Oryctolagus cuniculus: one gene and its partners. The protein of the gene in region 1 interacts with the protein of each later gene in a pairwise test. Links are inferred from orthologs where the notes say so. Each region holds a gene or a part of one and is shown on either strand. Other genes may lie near its edges.

The links. The genes of interacting proteins can lie anywhere in the genome.
Region 2: the proteins of TRIM39 (region 1) and UBE2D4 interact in binary tests that used the Homo sapiens proteins (3 or more experiments, as listed by UniProt). The link is inferred for Oryctolagus cuniculus from reciprocal best matches to the Homo sapiens genes TRIM39 and UBE2D4.
Region 3: the proteins of TRIM39 (region 1) and PSMD9 interact in binary tests that used the Homo sapiens proteins (3 or more experiments, as listed by UniProt). The two-hybrid records come from large-scale screens. The link is inferred for Oryctolagus cuniculus from reciprocal best matches to the Homo sapiens genes TRIM39 and PSMD9.

Annotation. Positions count from the first base shown.
Region 1 is NC_091436.1:139,953,409-139,956,866, forward strand, and holds part of TRIM39 (E3 ubiquitin-protein ligase TRIM39), read right to left. Parts: intron 3,266-3,458; coding exon 3,035-3,265; intron 1,865-3,034; coding exon 1,842-1,864; intron 1,294-1,841; coding exon 1,178-1,293; intron 506-1,177; coding exon of another isoform or gene 480-505; coding exon 1-479.
Region 2 is NC_091447.1:51,529,180-51,534,551, reverse strand, and holds the start of UBE2D4 (ubiquitin-conjugating enzyme E2 D4), read right to left. Parts: upstream 3,428-5,372; 5' UTR 3,295-3,427; coding exon 3,271-3,294; intron 3,055-3,270; exon of another isoform or gene 2,658-3,054; coding exon of another isoform or gene 2,637-2,657; intron 1-2,636. UniProt on the Homo sapiens protein: Accepts ubiquitin from the E1 complex and catalyzes its covalent attachment to other proteins. In vitro able to promote polyubiquitination using all 7 ubiquitin Lys residues, but may prefer 'Lys-11' and 'Lys-48'-linked polyubiquitination.
Region 3 is NC_091452.1:7,179,170-7,184,375, forward strand, and holds the start of PSMD9 (26S proteasome non-ATPase regulatory subunit 9), read right to left. Parts: upstream 3,428-5,206; 5' UTR 3,326-3,427; coding exon 3,188-3,325; intron 1-3,187. UniProt on the Homo sapiens protein: Acts as a chaperone during the assembly of the 26S proteasome, specifically of the base subcomplex of the PA700/19S regulatory complex (RC).

The sequences.
Region 1 (3,458 bases):
GTAGAACAGGGGCCAAAGTTTCTCTGTGAAGGTATCGGTGAAGGTGTAGATGTGAGAACGGTCTGTGACGTTATAAAAAGACAGCGTGCCAGCCTCATAGTCTAGGAATATGCCCACCCGTTTGGGTTTCACTTTGATATGCAACGGGGTGAAAGGTGTGGTGGTGGCTGCATATTTGTCCCCATTCCACAGCCGTACCCGCCAGTAGCCAGTCTCAGGGAGTGGAGTCAGCTCGCCCTTTCGGCTCACAGAGTCCCGGCACACACCCACTGCCCAGTGGGTCTTGTCGCCCACCTCCACCTCCCAGTAGTGTCGACCTGAGGTGAAACCTTCAGTAGCCAGGACACAAGGGTAGAAGGTGAAACGCCGTGGTGTGTCGGGGAGATCCCGGAGTCTTGTCTCCACGAACTTGACGCTCTTACGGTCTTCTGATAGGACTAGGTTAGGATGAGCAGTCTCGGGGTCCAGGGTCACATCCGCTGGCGGGAGAAGCCAGAGTGGGGAGCTAGATGAGGATGGGAATAGCTAAATGTCCCTGCCTCACTTTTCCAGCCTGCCTCTACAGAGCCTGGTCCCTTAAAAGTTACCTCTCTAACCCAGGGCGTCTCCTGAGGGAGAGGAGAATGAAGGCTACCCTTCTCATCCCGACCCTGCAGGGACCACTCTAAGGTTCCCACTCTCCCTGTCATCCTCCGACATCATCATCTATTGCTCTGTACAGAGAGGTGCAAGGCATGGTCTGAGGGCCAGGAAGGAAAGTGTTATGTTAAGAAAGATACAGAGCAAGACAGCACTATGGTCTACGAATAGGGTGAGGTGTATGTGTTTTCCCAGAGCTGTCCTGGTTAATGACCACTTTCCTTGCATGAATATTAAGGACACATCCTTTCACTATTCAGCTCATCCTAGCTTTAGACGGCCACCCTATCTAACAACCTGGGCAAACTATTTAACCTTTCCAAGTCTCTATTTAGAAAAGTGTGGATCTCAGAGTAGGTGATACCTAAGGCTTCTTCTCATTTTGAGTTCTGTGACTCAGGGTGACATTCAAAGTTGGGTGAAGATGGGTGTGTGAATGAAGAGAGACGGGATAACTGAAGCCCACATAAAGTAGGGTCTGAAGACTTTGTTCTCTCTGGCAATTCCCTCTGCTAATTTCCTTTTGGGAACAACTCACCAATTAGCTGTTTAAGGATTTTCCTTAGGGCAAAATACTGTCGGGGAAAATTGCTGAAGTTCTTTTCCAGCTCTATAGATACTGAAGTCACTTCCATGGTCTTCACCTTCTCACATCTAGGAGGGGATGGGGAGATTAAGGGCAAGGTTAGGGGAAGCTGAAGCCAGGCGGCTATCAGATGTTGTCATCTTTAGGGAGAAACTAAAACTCCATCTTCCCACTTTCCCCTCCTCCCTGAAGACAACTGCTTCCTTTCGCCAATCCACAGAGAGCCACTGGTTCCCGGGACAGATTCTTATGTTGACAAGGTCAGTGGTGGGTGGGTGGGGGGAAGGGGTGTGTCTTATATTTCATGCCCATGGGTAAGCCCATTGGCTCCACCAACCCGTTCCTCCTGCCATCTTGCTTGGACGTAATTTACCAATAGACGCAAGGAGAACCTGTTTCTATGTTATCATTCTTCTTACTGAGGAAGTCCTGATGCTCAAAGGGGAAAAGGGATTATTAGTCCTGATGATCTGTTCCCTAACTGGTTTCTTGGACCTTCTCCCATATCCTACCCAGCCTGTATGACTTTCCCCTCATTATTCCCCCACCTCCTTACTGAACTCCCAGCATCTAAGACAAGCCCTAACTCACTCAAAGAGATTTAAGAATCACTTACTTTTCCAGGGTACTTTTGACATCCTAGAGGGAAGGAGAAAAGAAAGCAATATTGGTCCTGGTATTCAAGGGTCCTGAAGGCAAAAGGTTTCCCCTCCTCCCCAAAGCTCTAGATCTCTAAAAAGGCACAGAGAAAACTGAGGGTCCCAGTGCAGGGCGAAGAGTTCCAGGGGCATCCGAGCTTCTCTCCCAACTGGATCCCCATTTTCAACTTTTGGTCATTGTGGAGCTTGATAATTTGAATCACTTCCAAATGGTTTCTTGGTGTTTGTCTTTGCTCCTCAGGCTCACTGGGAGCTCCCTGCAAGGGACAGGGATTGTGTCTGCTCTTCACTCTGTGCCCCAAGTACCAACCACACACTGTGTCTCCCTGAGGATCTCAGGACAGAGAATTCTGACTGGCAGCACAAAACAAACCACTCTTTCCTGTTGTGGTTTGGTATTCCCTAGCCAGCACTGGTTAATGAACATTAACAACTGCGTGCCAATCCTAATTTGAGAATACTTGGGGTCCAGAAGACAAAGAAGACAAATCTCTGCCCCTTAAGGATTTTCCAGTTTAATGTGGAAAGCAGAACACACAGACATGAAGAACACGGGAATAATAAATACCGAGCAATACACAACATGCATATAAATGTACAATGAAGCCTCAATGATTCAAATGCTGGTAATCTGATATCTAAGATAAAAAGTATGTCCCCTACAGCCTGGCTAATATGATTTATCTGTTTAAGAGAATAACACTACTTCAAACATTTTAGAGGCATCATTGGTATATCAAAAGCAAGGTATTCTTTACAAGTATCCTTTAAGCTATGTTTCTGTTCTTCAGCACTAGGTGATTCAAAATCCAGGACTTAAAAGTAACTGGTTTCACAAAATTTCTAATGCATAGTTTTTTTTTTTTTTTTTTAACTTATTCAGACTATGACTTTTGTCCTTTCAAAAAGTGATTTTTTTCCCCCTTGGGTACAAATTAAGTACATAATTGTTGACAGGACATAAGACCATGATTAGAAAGGATGGGAGAGATCAGAGGACTTTCTGTAGGAAGAGATCCTTGTATGTCTGGAAGGAAAGACTGGATCTAGGGAAGCAGAGTGGAAGAGCGAGCCTCCCAGGCTGACATACTGGCTGTGCGAAGCTATACTGTGCACGACCTGAGGGGCTATGCAGGGGCAACGGTCGAACCTTAAGCATCTCGAAGCCCGACTGTAAGCACTTGCCCTCCACCTCTGCAGCCAGGTGGGCGAGGTCCCGGCGCTTGTCCCCAAGGTGAGCAGCATTTTCTCGTAGTCGCTGGAGAATGTCCTGTTCCTCCTCCTCCAGTCGTGCAAACAGCATCTGCTGCTCCTCATCCAGCCGCCTGTGCAGCTCTTCAAACTCCCGCAGGATCTGCTGCCGGCGACTCTCCACCAGTCTCTAGGGAGAGAGGGAAGACGCTATGTCAGCAGGGCTGGCAGGGCAGGGGGAGGCCCCTTGCCCACCATGTGTGCACCTCAGCAGAGACTTCCAGAGTCACTGACAACCATTACACAGGACACCCCTCTTTCTCTTGGGTGCAATTTCCTTCTGGAAAGAATGACTCCATCCCTGCCACGCCCACTGAAAACTT
Region 2 (5,372 bases), on another chromosome or scaffold:
GCCCAAGGCTAACCTGCTTCCCACCACGCCCGGAGGGGCCAGAAACTGCACCATAGCCAGACCCCCCTTATGGGACATCAACACTGGCTCACCTCCCTCTGTGCTCACCTCCCCCCTGTGCTCACCTCCCTCTGCGCTCACCTCCCTCTGCGCTCACCTCCCCTCTGCGCTCACCTCCCTCTGCGCTCACCTCCCCCCTGCGCTCACCTCCCCCCTGTGCTCACCTCCCTCTGCGCTCACCTCCCCCCTGCGCTCACCTCCCCCCTGTGCTCACCTCCCTCTGCGCTCAGCTCCCCTCTGCCCTCACCTCCCTCTGCGCTCACCTCCCTCTGCGCTCACCTCCCCCCTGCGCTCACCTCCCTCTGTGCTCACCTCCCGCTGTGCTCACCTCCCTCTGCGCTCACCTCCCCTCTGCCCTCACCTCCCACTGTGCTCACCTCCCCCCTGCCCTCACCTCCCGCTGTGCTCACTTCCCGCTGTGCTCACCTCCCTCTGTGCTCACCTCCCTCTGTGCTCACCTCCCCCTGCCCTCGCCTCCCGCTGTGCTCACCTCCCTCTGTGCTCACCTCCCCCCTGCGCTCACCTCCCCCTGCCCTCACCTCCCGCTGTGCTCACCTCCCCTCTGCCCTCACCTCCTGCTGTGCTCACCTCCCCCCTGCCCTCACCTCCCGCTGTGCTCACTTCCCGCTGTGCTCACCTCCCTCTGTGCTCACCTCCCTCTGTGCTCACCTCCCCCTGCCCTCGCCTCCCGCTGTGCTCACCTCCCCCCTGCGCTCACCTCCCCCTGCCCTCACCTCCTGCTGTGCTCACCTCCCCTCTGCCCTCACCTCCTGCTGTGCTCACCTCCCCCCTGCCCTCGCCTCCCTCTGCGCTCACCTCCCTCTGTGCTCACCTCCCTCTGCGCTCACCTCCCTCTGCGCTCACCTCCCGCTGTGCTCACCTCCCCCCTGCGCCCCCCCCCCCAGTGCTCCCTGCCGGGAGCCGCACAGTGGCTCTCAGGCTCTCAAGCGGAGTTTGCATGGAAGAGGAAGCTTCCTCGCATGCCAGCCTTCCCGGTCCAGCACACTGCGGGTCCCACGGAGGGCGGCATGTGGGACAGCGTTCCTGTGGCAGGGACACCTCAGGGGAGGGCAATCCCCGCGTCCAGGGCACACCTGGCCCGTGGTGTTTCTCCTTCCACGGGACCAGCTCTGCCTCGTCCACAAAGACCCTGCAGGGGCCAACGCTGTGGTGTAGTGGGTAAAGTCACCGCCTGCAGTGCCGGCATCCCATATGGGCACCAGTTCCAGTCCCGGCTGCTCCACTTCCAATCCAGCTCTCTGTTATGGCCTGGGAAAGCAGTAGAAGATGGCCCAAGTCCTTGGGCCCCTGCACCCTGTGGGAGACCCGGAGGAAGCTCCTGGCTCCTGGCTCCTGATCAGCACAGCTCCGGCTGTTGTGGCCAGTTGGGGAGTGAACCAGCGGATGGAAGACCTCTCTCTCTGCCTCTCCTGTCTCTTTGTAACTCTTTCAAATAAATAAATAAATCTTTAAAAACCCACTCTGCTGATCCCCTGGATGTGTCTGGTCCACTCATCACGCCACTAGCCCTCACCTCTCTGGCCACCTGCTGTTGCCCTCACTTCCCTGCAAATGTGTTTGGCCATGACGAGGGTATTAAAGCCAGAGCCAGCTAACAGGACAGGTCGGCGTGTTTTGCCCCCAAGGGCTGCCTCCCCCACCCCTCCAGCCCCTCACTGGCTGCTCTCAGTGGGCACAGCCCCCCTGAACCCCTGTCCTCACTGGACCTGGACGTGCAGGGGAGCCTGGGAACCACTGAGGCCCAGAAGGGGGGCAGAGGGCGCCTCCGAAACATGGGGCCACGGTGTCCCGATGAACCGCTCTGCCCCACTCACCTCCCCGCTCTGCACCCACAGCACTCTGCCATCACGCCGCTCCCCTCCGTGCTGCCCTCACCTCCCCCTGCGCTCACCTCCCTCTGCGCTCACCTCCCCCCTGCACTCACCTCCCCCCCCCCGTGCTCACCTCCCCCTGTGCTCACCTCCCCCTGCCCTCACCTCCCTCTGCGCTCACCTCCCTCTGCCCTCACCTCCCCCTGAGCTCACCTCCCTCTGCCCTCACCTCCCCCTGAGCTCACCTCCCCCCTGTGCTCACCTCCCCCTGAGCTCACCTCCCCCAGCACTCACCTCCCTCTGCGCTCACCTCCCCCTGCGCTCACCTCCCCGCTGCACTCACCTCCGTGCAGCTCTCACCTCCCTCTGCACTCACCTCCCTCTGCACTCACCTCCCTCTGTGCTCACCTCCCTCTGTGCTCACCTCCCCGCTGTTCTCATCTCTCACCTCCACCATCGAGCCTCAGGGACTGGCACAGCCATGTCCATGTGTGAAGGCACTCCCGGGACAGCTGAGCGGCGACTGAACAGGTGGGGCCAAGAAAGGCCAGTTCAGGCCAAAGCCCCTGCAGCTCAGAGCTGTCCACACCCCGGGCTTTTCCGCAGGCTCCCCTGACAGGCCGGCTCAGAGGCCCAGCTCCATCCCCAGGAAAACCTTGTACAACGCCCTGTGAGGCTGCACCCTCTGGCACTACAAACCTTAACACATAGCGCGTTCGCAAAGCACCCAGGCCGACAGCTTACCCGGGCTGCCCCCACGGGCATCACACAAGGACCGGAGCCCTGGGCGGGAGTCGTACAGACGGGAGTGCATGCAGGCCAGGAAGGCCTAAACAGGACCGCAGCCTGGCCAAGTCCCGCCCACCAACCCCGCGTCCTGCCACTCCGACCAATGACCCGCCGTGAACTCCTGGGCAGTTAACGCGCAAGGTGATGGCCACCCCTGCTATCAAACAGCGACACGGACGCCACGCGAACAAGGCGGGCACCAAATACGATCGTTGACAAGCCTGGAGGCAGGTGCGCTAACAGCTCACTAGCGCGGCCGAACTGCAAAGACCGTCGTTGTCTTCCGCCCGCACTCCTCACACTCTAGGACGAGCACCCAGCTACCGCGGAGCTGCACCTGCCGCCGCCCCGCAAGGCGTCTGCGGCAGGCCCCGCCCCCGGGACACGGCCCCTCCCACCGCGCCGGTGGCCCCGCCCCCGGGACGCGGGTCCGCCCACCGCGCCGGCGGCCAAGCCCACGGCCCCCGCCCACCGCGCCGGCGGCGGTTCCTGGCTCGCGGGCCGGCCGCCAGTCACTCGGCGGCGACGCCCCGCCTTCGTCTCCACACCTGGACGCCCAGGGCGGAGCGTGGGTGGGCGGCTCCCTTACCTTCTGGATCCGCTTCAGCGCCATCCTCCCGCGTCTGGGGCCCGGCGGCCCGGCGGGGCGGCCAGAGGCGGCCCGCTGCGGGCTCGGCCGCGCGCTGCACGCTGGGAGCCGCCGCCTGCGCGTGCGCGCCGCGAGGCACTGTGGGGCGGACGCCGGCGCCGCGTGTCCCGGCGGCCGAGGGCCCCAGCGGGCGTTCGCCCGCGCGCCCTGCCCTGTGGCTTGGGCCAGGGCCCGTAGGGGGCCGGACACGGTGACGCCCGCCGCGTGTTGCCCTGTGCGCCGCGGGCGCCTCCGCGGGCTGCAGGTTCCCGCTCTGTGCGCGCCCCCGCCGGGACGTCGTAGTCCGGCGCGCTGCACCTGCTGTCACGTCGTAGTCCGGCGCGCTGCACCTGCTGCCACGCACGCACGCACGGACGCGGCCTCGTGCGGTGGAGCGGCAGAGCGGGCGGTGGTGATACGCCGCCAGGGCTGGGAACCGCAGCCGCAAGCCACGCGTGGCCCCCGCTTAATTCCGCCTCAGCCCCTCTTCCCAAGACCCACGTGGTGTGTGGGTCGGGGTTTCCCAATTTGGGGCGTAGAATCCGTCTCCTGGGTCGCAGGCAGGAAATGGAGTAAGAGCGAACCTGACACGCGAAGGCGAGAGCCGCCGCAGCTCCCCGCGGAGGGGGCGCCAGGGGAGTCAGGCTGGACCGCAGGGGTCGCCTGGGCTTGTCCCGCGGGCATCCCCGCGTGTGCGCGCGGTCGGCACGCACCGTGGATCGCAGACGCTATCCTTTCCCGGCCGGGTCCGGCTTCCCTTTCGCTCCCGGAGTCTCCTCCGCACTTCATGAACTCCCTCTCCGCGAAGCTGCCGCGCCGCCTCCAGCCCCAAACCCACTCAGCGCCACGAGAGGCCGCGGCCGCGCGTGTGCGCTGAGCTCCAGCCCGGCTGGCCGTCCAGTGCTTCCACCCGTATCGCTTTATCTGGGATGCCCTAAAAGCACCTTCCAAAATGAGCTCAAGCGCTCTGGGGCTCAGGTTAAGCGCCGCACCTCGGTGTCCCAGCGTGTGCCTGGCTCTCCTACCTAGAGAGCGGAAGATCTTACATTTTTGTGTTATAATCCGCGAATTCTCTACAGAGAAGTCGCATCATGGGACTAAGCCAGGAAAACAAACAAACAAACAAACCACTAGACTTGTCCAGAGTAGAACATGAAAAATTGTATTTCTACTCCTTGTGGGTGGTTTAGTGCATAGTTTTCTAAACTCTATTAGGCATACATGTGATATTTAATTTTGTTACTTTCAAATAATTTTCCATGTACAAAAATACTGCAAAAATGCACAAAAAGTCTAAAAGTGGATCAATTTGACCTCATTAAAACGTGAAACTTTGGCACTTCAGACAGCACCATCAAGAAAGCAAAAAGCAAAAAAGATAAGCCCGAGAATGGGAGGAGAATTTGACAATTAGGTTTCTAACAAGGGTGTAGGATCCAGACTAAAAACAACAGGCACAACTTTTTTTTTTTTTTTTTTTTTGTTACAAAGGCGTTTAGTTTATTCTCGTATCACGGATACTCTAGCGGTTCACATTTCTCGACGCCGCTCCTCCTCCTTTACAGTAGTTCATGTGCAATCTCACTCCCAGGCCCGGGGAGGGGGCGGGGCGGGCCTTGGCACTCCACGCTGGGCCAGGGGTGGGGGCGGCGGGCCCCTCAGGGAAAGGGGCTTGGGGGTGGCGGAGTGGGGGTGAGCGGAGGTGGGAGAGGGCCCTACAGTCTTTTTAATTTTTTTTAATGTCCGTGGATGATTCTCCCCCGTTTGCATTCCTTCCTGGCTGCCCAGGGTAGGGGACCATGCAGCGCAGGGCAGGGCTAGGGGGGAAAGCAGCTGGCCGCCCGGGGGGAGAGGGGGGCGCTGGGGGGGCTCCTGGGCTAAGGCAAACCCTGTCTTTGGCTCTCCTGGTGGGGAGTTCCCTTCCCCTGCACCCCCCCCGTCCCGTCCCCCCCCAGTCCCAGGAGCCAGGGGCCACCTCCTGGGGTCCCTGAAGACAACTGGGCTCTGCCACCCGGCTGGGCGCTGCAGGGGCTCCCAGGAGGCGGGGCAGCCGAGTGCCCCTA
Region 3 (5,206 bases), on another chromosome or scaffold:
CTAGGGCTGGCGCTGTGGCATAGTGGGTAAAGCAGCCACCTGCAGTGCAGACATCCCATATGGGTGCAGGTTCGAGTCCTGGCTGCTCCACTTCTGATCCAGCTCTCTGCTATGGCCTGGGAAAGCAGTGGAAGATGGCCCAAGTCCTTGGACCCTGCACCCTCGTGGGAGACCTGGATGAAGTTCCTGGCTTCAGATCAGCCCAGCTCTGGCTGTTGTGGCCATCTAGGAAGTAAACCAGCAGATGGAAGATTTTTCTCTCTCTCTCTACCTCTGCCTCTTTGTAAATCTGTCTTTCAAATAAATAAATAAATCATATATATATATATATATATATATATATCTCTTCCCAAAAAGGACCCACACAACTGGTGGCTCACACACAAGGCAGTAAATAACCTTCTGTCTAAAATACTTATTCTGGCCCCACCCCAGCCTTGTAGCATAGCAGGTAAAGCTGCTGCCTGCGATGCCAGCATCTCATACAGGCACTGGTTCATGTTCCAGCTGCTCCATTTCCAATCCAGCTCCCTGCAAATGGTCTGAGAAAAGCAATAGAAGACAGCCCAAATGCCTGGGCCCCTGTTATCCACATGGGAGACCTGGAAGAGCTCCTGGCTTCTGGCTTCGGCCCTGGCCATTGCAGCCATTTGGGGAGTGGACCAATGGATGGAAGCTCACTCGCTCTCTGCATCTCTCTCTTTCTCTAAATCTGACTTTCAAATAAATAAGTAAATCTTTTAAAAATAAAGAAAATATTTATTCCTGGGGCCAGCATTGGGTTAAGCCACCATGTGCAACACTGACATCCCATATGAGCACCAGTTCAAACCCCAGCTGTTCCACCTCTGATCCAGTACCCAAGTACTTGTGCCCGTGCCACCCATGGGGGAGACCTGGATGGAGTTCCAGCCCCAGCTGTTGTAGTCATTTGGAGAGTGAACCAGTGGATGGAAGGTCTCTCTCTCTCTCTCTGAAATTCTGCCTTTCAAATAAATAATAAATCCTTTTACAATTAAAATATTGATTCTCTTTCCAGTTCTCTTCAATATTCAGTCTTTACAATCCCAGATTACTTGCTGTCTCTGAGTTGTTCCAATTTTGAAAGTTTTTTCTTTTTTAAGATACATTTATTTTAAAGTCAGAGTTACAGTGAGAGGAGAGAGAGAGGAGAAAGATCTTCCATCTTTCTCCTGGGCCCTGATGGCCCCAATGATCAGTGGTGGGCCAGACTGAAGTGAGGAGCTTCTTCCGGGTCTCCCACGTGGGTGCAGGGCCCAAGCACGTAGGCCATCCTCCACTGCTTTCCCAGGCCACAGCAGCGAGCTGGATCGGAAGTGGAGCAGCCGGGACTGGAACTGGAGCTCTGACATGGCATGCTGGTGTCACAAGTGGTGGCTTAACCCACTGGGCCACAGCACAGATTCCCCGTTTTTGAAAGTTTCATTGAGATATTGTTCACTTATCATAAATTGCTCCATTGAGCAGTGAACAATTCAGGCCGGCGCCGCGGCTCACTAGGCTAATCCTCCACCTTGCGGCGCTGGCACACCGGGTTCTAGTCCCAGTCGGGGCGCCGGATTCTGTCCCGGTTGCCCCTCTTCCAGGCCAGCTCTCTGCTGTGGCCGGGAGTGCAGTGGAGGATGGCCCAAGTGCTTGGGCCCTGCACCCCATGGGAGACCAGGAGAAGCACCTGGCTCCTGCCATCGGATCAGCGCGGTGCGCCGGCCGCGGCGGCCATTGGAGGGTGAACCAACGGCAAAAGGAAGACCTTTCTCTCTGTCTCTCTCTCTCACTGTCCACTCTGCCTGTCCAAAACAAAACAAAACAAAACACTAGGCTAAAGTGAACAATTCAGTGGTTTTCAGAATATTCACAGACCCGTCCAACCCTCACCCTCAATTTTAGTACATCTTCATCACCCCCAAAAAGAAGCCTCATCAGCAATCACTCTCACTCCCTCCCCCCAGACCCCAGCAACTACTTTCTGTTCCTATGGATCTGCCCATCCGGGACATCTCACAGGGATCTGCCCATCCTGGACATCTCACACGGGTCTGCCCATCCCGGGCATCTCACAGGGATCTGCCCATCCCGGGCATCTCACAAGGATCTGCCCATCCTGGACATGTCACACGGGTCTGCCCATCCTGGACATCTCACACGGGTCAGCCCACCGTGGACATGTCACACGGGTCTGCCCACCGTGGACATGTCACAGGGATCTGCCCATCCTGGACATCTCACACGGGTCAGCCCACAGTGGACATGTCACACGGGTCTGCCCACCGTGGACATGTCACAGGGATCTGACCACCGTGGACATATCACACGGGTCTGCCCATCTGGGACATCTCACAGGGATCTGCCCACCGTGGACATCTCACACGGGTCTGTCCATCCCGGGCATCTCACACGGGTCTGCCCATCCTGGACATGTCACAGGGATCTGCCCACCGTGGACATGTCACAGGGATCTGCCCATCCTGGACATGTCACAAGGATCTGACCACCGTGGACATGTCACAGGGATCTGCCCATCCTGGACATGTCACACAGGTCTGACCACCGTGGACATCTCACAAGGATCTGCCCACCGTGGACATGTCACACGGGTCTGCCCATCATGGACATGTCACACAGGTCTGACCACTGTGGACATCTCACAGGGATCTGCCCATCCTGGACATGTCACACGGGTCTGCCCATCATGGACATGTCACACGGGTCTGCCCATCATGGACATGTCACAGGGATCTGCCCACCGTGGACATGTCACACGGGTCTGCCCACCGTGGACATGTCACAGGGATCTGTCCATCCAGGGCATCTCACACGGAGCCTGCAGTAGGAGCACCGCCTGAGGCCCCGCCCCCGGCACGCCCCGCACTCTAGCCACGCCCCCAGGCGTCCCGCATGCGCACTGGCGTTCCAGCGGCTCCCACGTCCACCAGGACCCCAGGCGGCGGTGATCGCCATCGGCTTCCTGGTCTCCAACGCGGGGAGCTCGGCGGCACCGAGCTGCCGGGCCAGCCCCGGGAGAGACGCCCGCGCCGCGCCCCTCGCAGGGGGCGGTCAGCCCGCGCCGCCGCCCAGGGAGGCCGTGGGAGAACCAGCCACGGCCGAGCGTCCCGGCAAGCCCTCGGGGCGCTCCCACGCCGCCCGGCAGCCCCGAGCCCTCACTCACGCCCTCCAGCACGTCGTAATTCGCCTTGATCTGCGCCTCAATCTCCTCCTTGCGCCGCATCAGCTCCTGGATGTCGCTGATAGTGTCGGCGCGGGCCTGCGAGGCGCCTCCGCTCGGCATCGCTTCCTTATCCGACATCGCGGCCCCCCACCCCGGGACCCTGGGCAGAGAGTGGCTACGGCTCCGCCCGCGGGCCAAAACACCTCAGCCGTCCGCGAGCGCGGGGCGACGCGAGGGGCGGGGTCGTTGGAAGCCACGCCCCCGCACGCACAAGCGCTACGGGGTGATGTCACCCTGGGTGACTTATTTTCATTACTCATTTGCTTAACAAATATTTATCGGGCACCTACCAAACGCATGTCCCAGATAAAGGGGCCACGGTGCTTGGATTCGGTTCCTCGCTTCTGCAAAAGCCTTGAAATGTACATAAATTCATATTTTTTTTAATCTCCTGTTTTACAAACTCTACAGTCCTGGGTTCGAATTCCAGTTTGTGCCCCTTACTGCAGCCCTCCCCTGGTTGTTTCAGCCATTTGGAGAGTGAACCAATGGATGGAAGATCTCTCCAACTCCACATGTAAAATATAAATTAAAAAAACTTTAAAAATAAAATTGGGGCCAGCTCTGTGGCATAGCAAGTAAAAATGCCGCATCCCATATGGGCACTGGTTCGAGTCCTGGCTGTTCCACTTCTGATCCAGCACTCTGCTTTGGCCTGGGAAAGCAGTAGGAAATGGCCCAAGTCCTTGGGTCCAAGCACATATGTGGGAGACCTGGAGGAAGCTCCTGGCTCCGGGCTTTGGACCGGCCCAGCTCCGACCATTGCAGCCATTTGGGGAGTGAACCAGTGGATGAAAAACCTCTTTCTCTCTCTGCCTCTGCTTCTCTGTAACTCTGCCTTTCAAATAATGAGTCTTTTTGAAAAGTATATAAAAACTATGGATAAATATACACAAAAAAATAGAGAATGGTGGTAGATTAACACCTCAAAGTTTTTTAAAAATAAAATAATAAAAATTAAGTTAAAAAGTTGCAAAATTGGAGCCAACATAGCAGTATAGCCAATGAAGCCACACCTGTGATGCTGGCATCCCAGTTCCAGTCCCAGCTGCTCCATTTCCCATCCAGCTCCCCGCAAATGCACATAGGAAAGCAGCAGAAGACAGTCCATGCTTGGGCCTCTGCCACCCACATGGAAGACCCAGATGAAGCTCCTGGGTTGTAGCGTTGGCCTGGCCCAGCCCTGGCTATTGTGGCCATCTGGGCAGTGAACCAAAGGAGGGAAGATTCATTCTCTCTCTCTCTCTCTCTCTCCCTCCCTCCCTCCCTTCTCTCTCTAACTCTGATTTTCAAATAAATAAATATTTTTAAAAGGCTTCAAAAATCACATAAACTTACAGCTAAATAAACTGTACAAAACAAAGATAGCAAATGCTCAAATCTCATTCCTTCTGCATGATTTTACTCCATTTTATCTTTTTTATAGGGTTATTTATTTGAAGGAGTTACAGAGAGAAAGGGAGAGACAGTGTTCCCAGTGCGTTCAAGGTTATTTCTGACTGCTCCACCTGTGTGATGTTACCACACTTGTCCTTTCCAGCGCCAAGGTCAGTGGCCGAACACTGGTAGCTTGAAATTGGCCTCAGGGAATATTTACACCAGAGAATTCTACAAACGCCAAGGCTTTTGCAAAAAACCAAGGCTTGATTTATTGTTTTATTGTTTTATTGATTGTCCAGGGCACAGGTGAGCAAACCATGGCCCTTGACCCAAACGTGGACCAATAGCTGCCTTTTCCTCACCACCTGGTTTTTGGTGGTTTTTTTTTTTTTTTTTTTTTAAAGATTGACTTATTTTTATTTGAAAGGCACTCCCCAAATGGCCACGGTGGCCAGGCCTGGGCCAGACTGAAGCCAGGAGCTGGGAATTCCATCCGGGTCTTTCATGGGGCCCAAGCACTTGAGCCACTGACTGCTGCTTTCCCCGTGTCATTGGCAGGGAGCTGGATCAGAAGCTGAG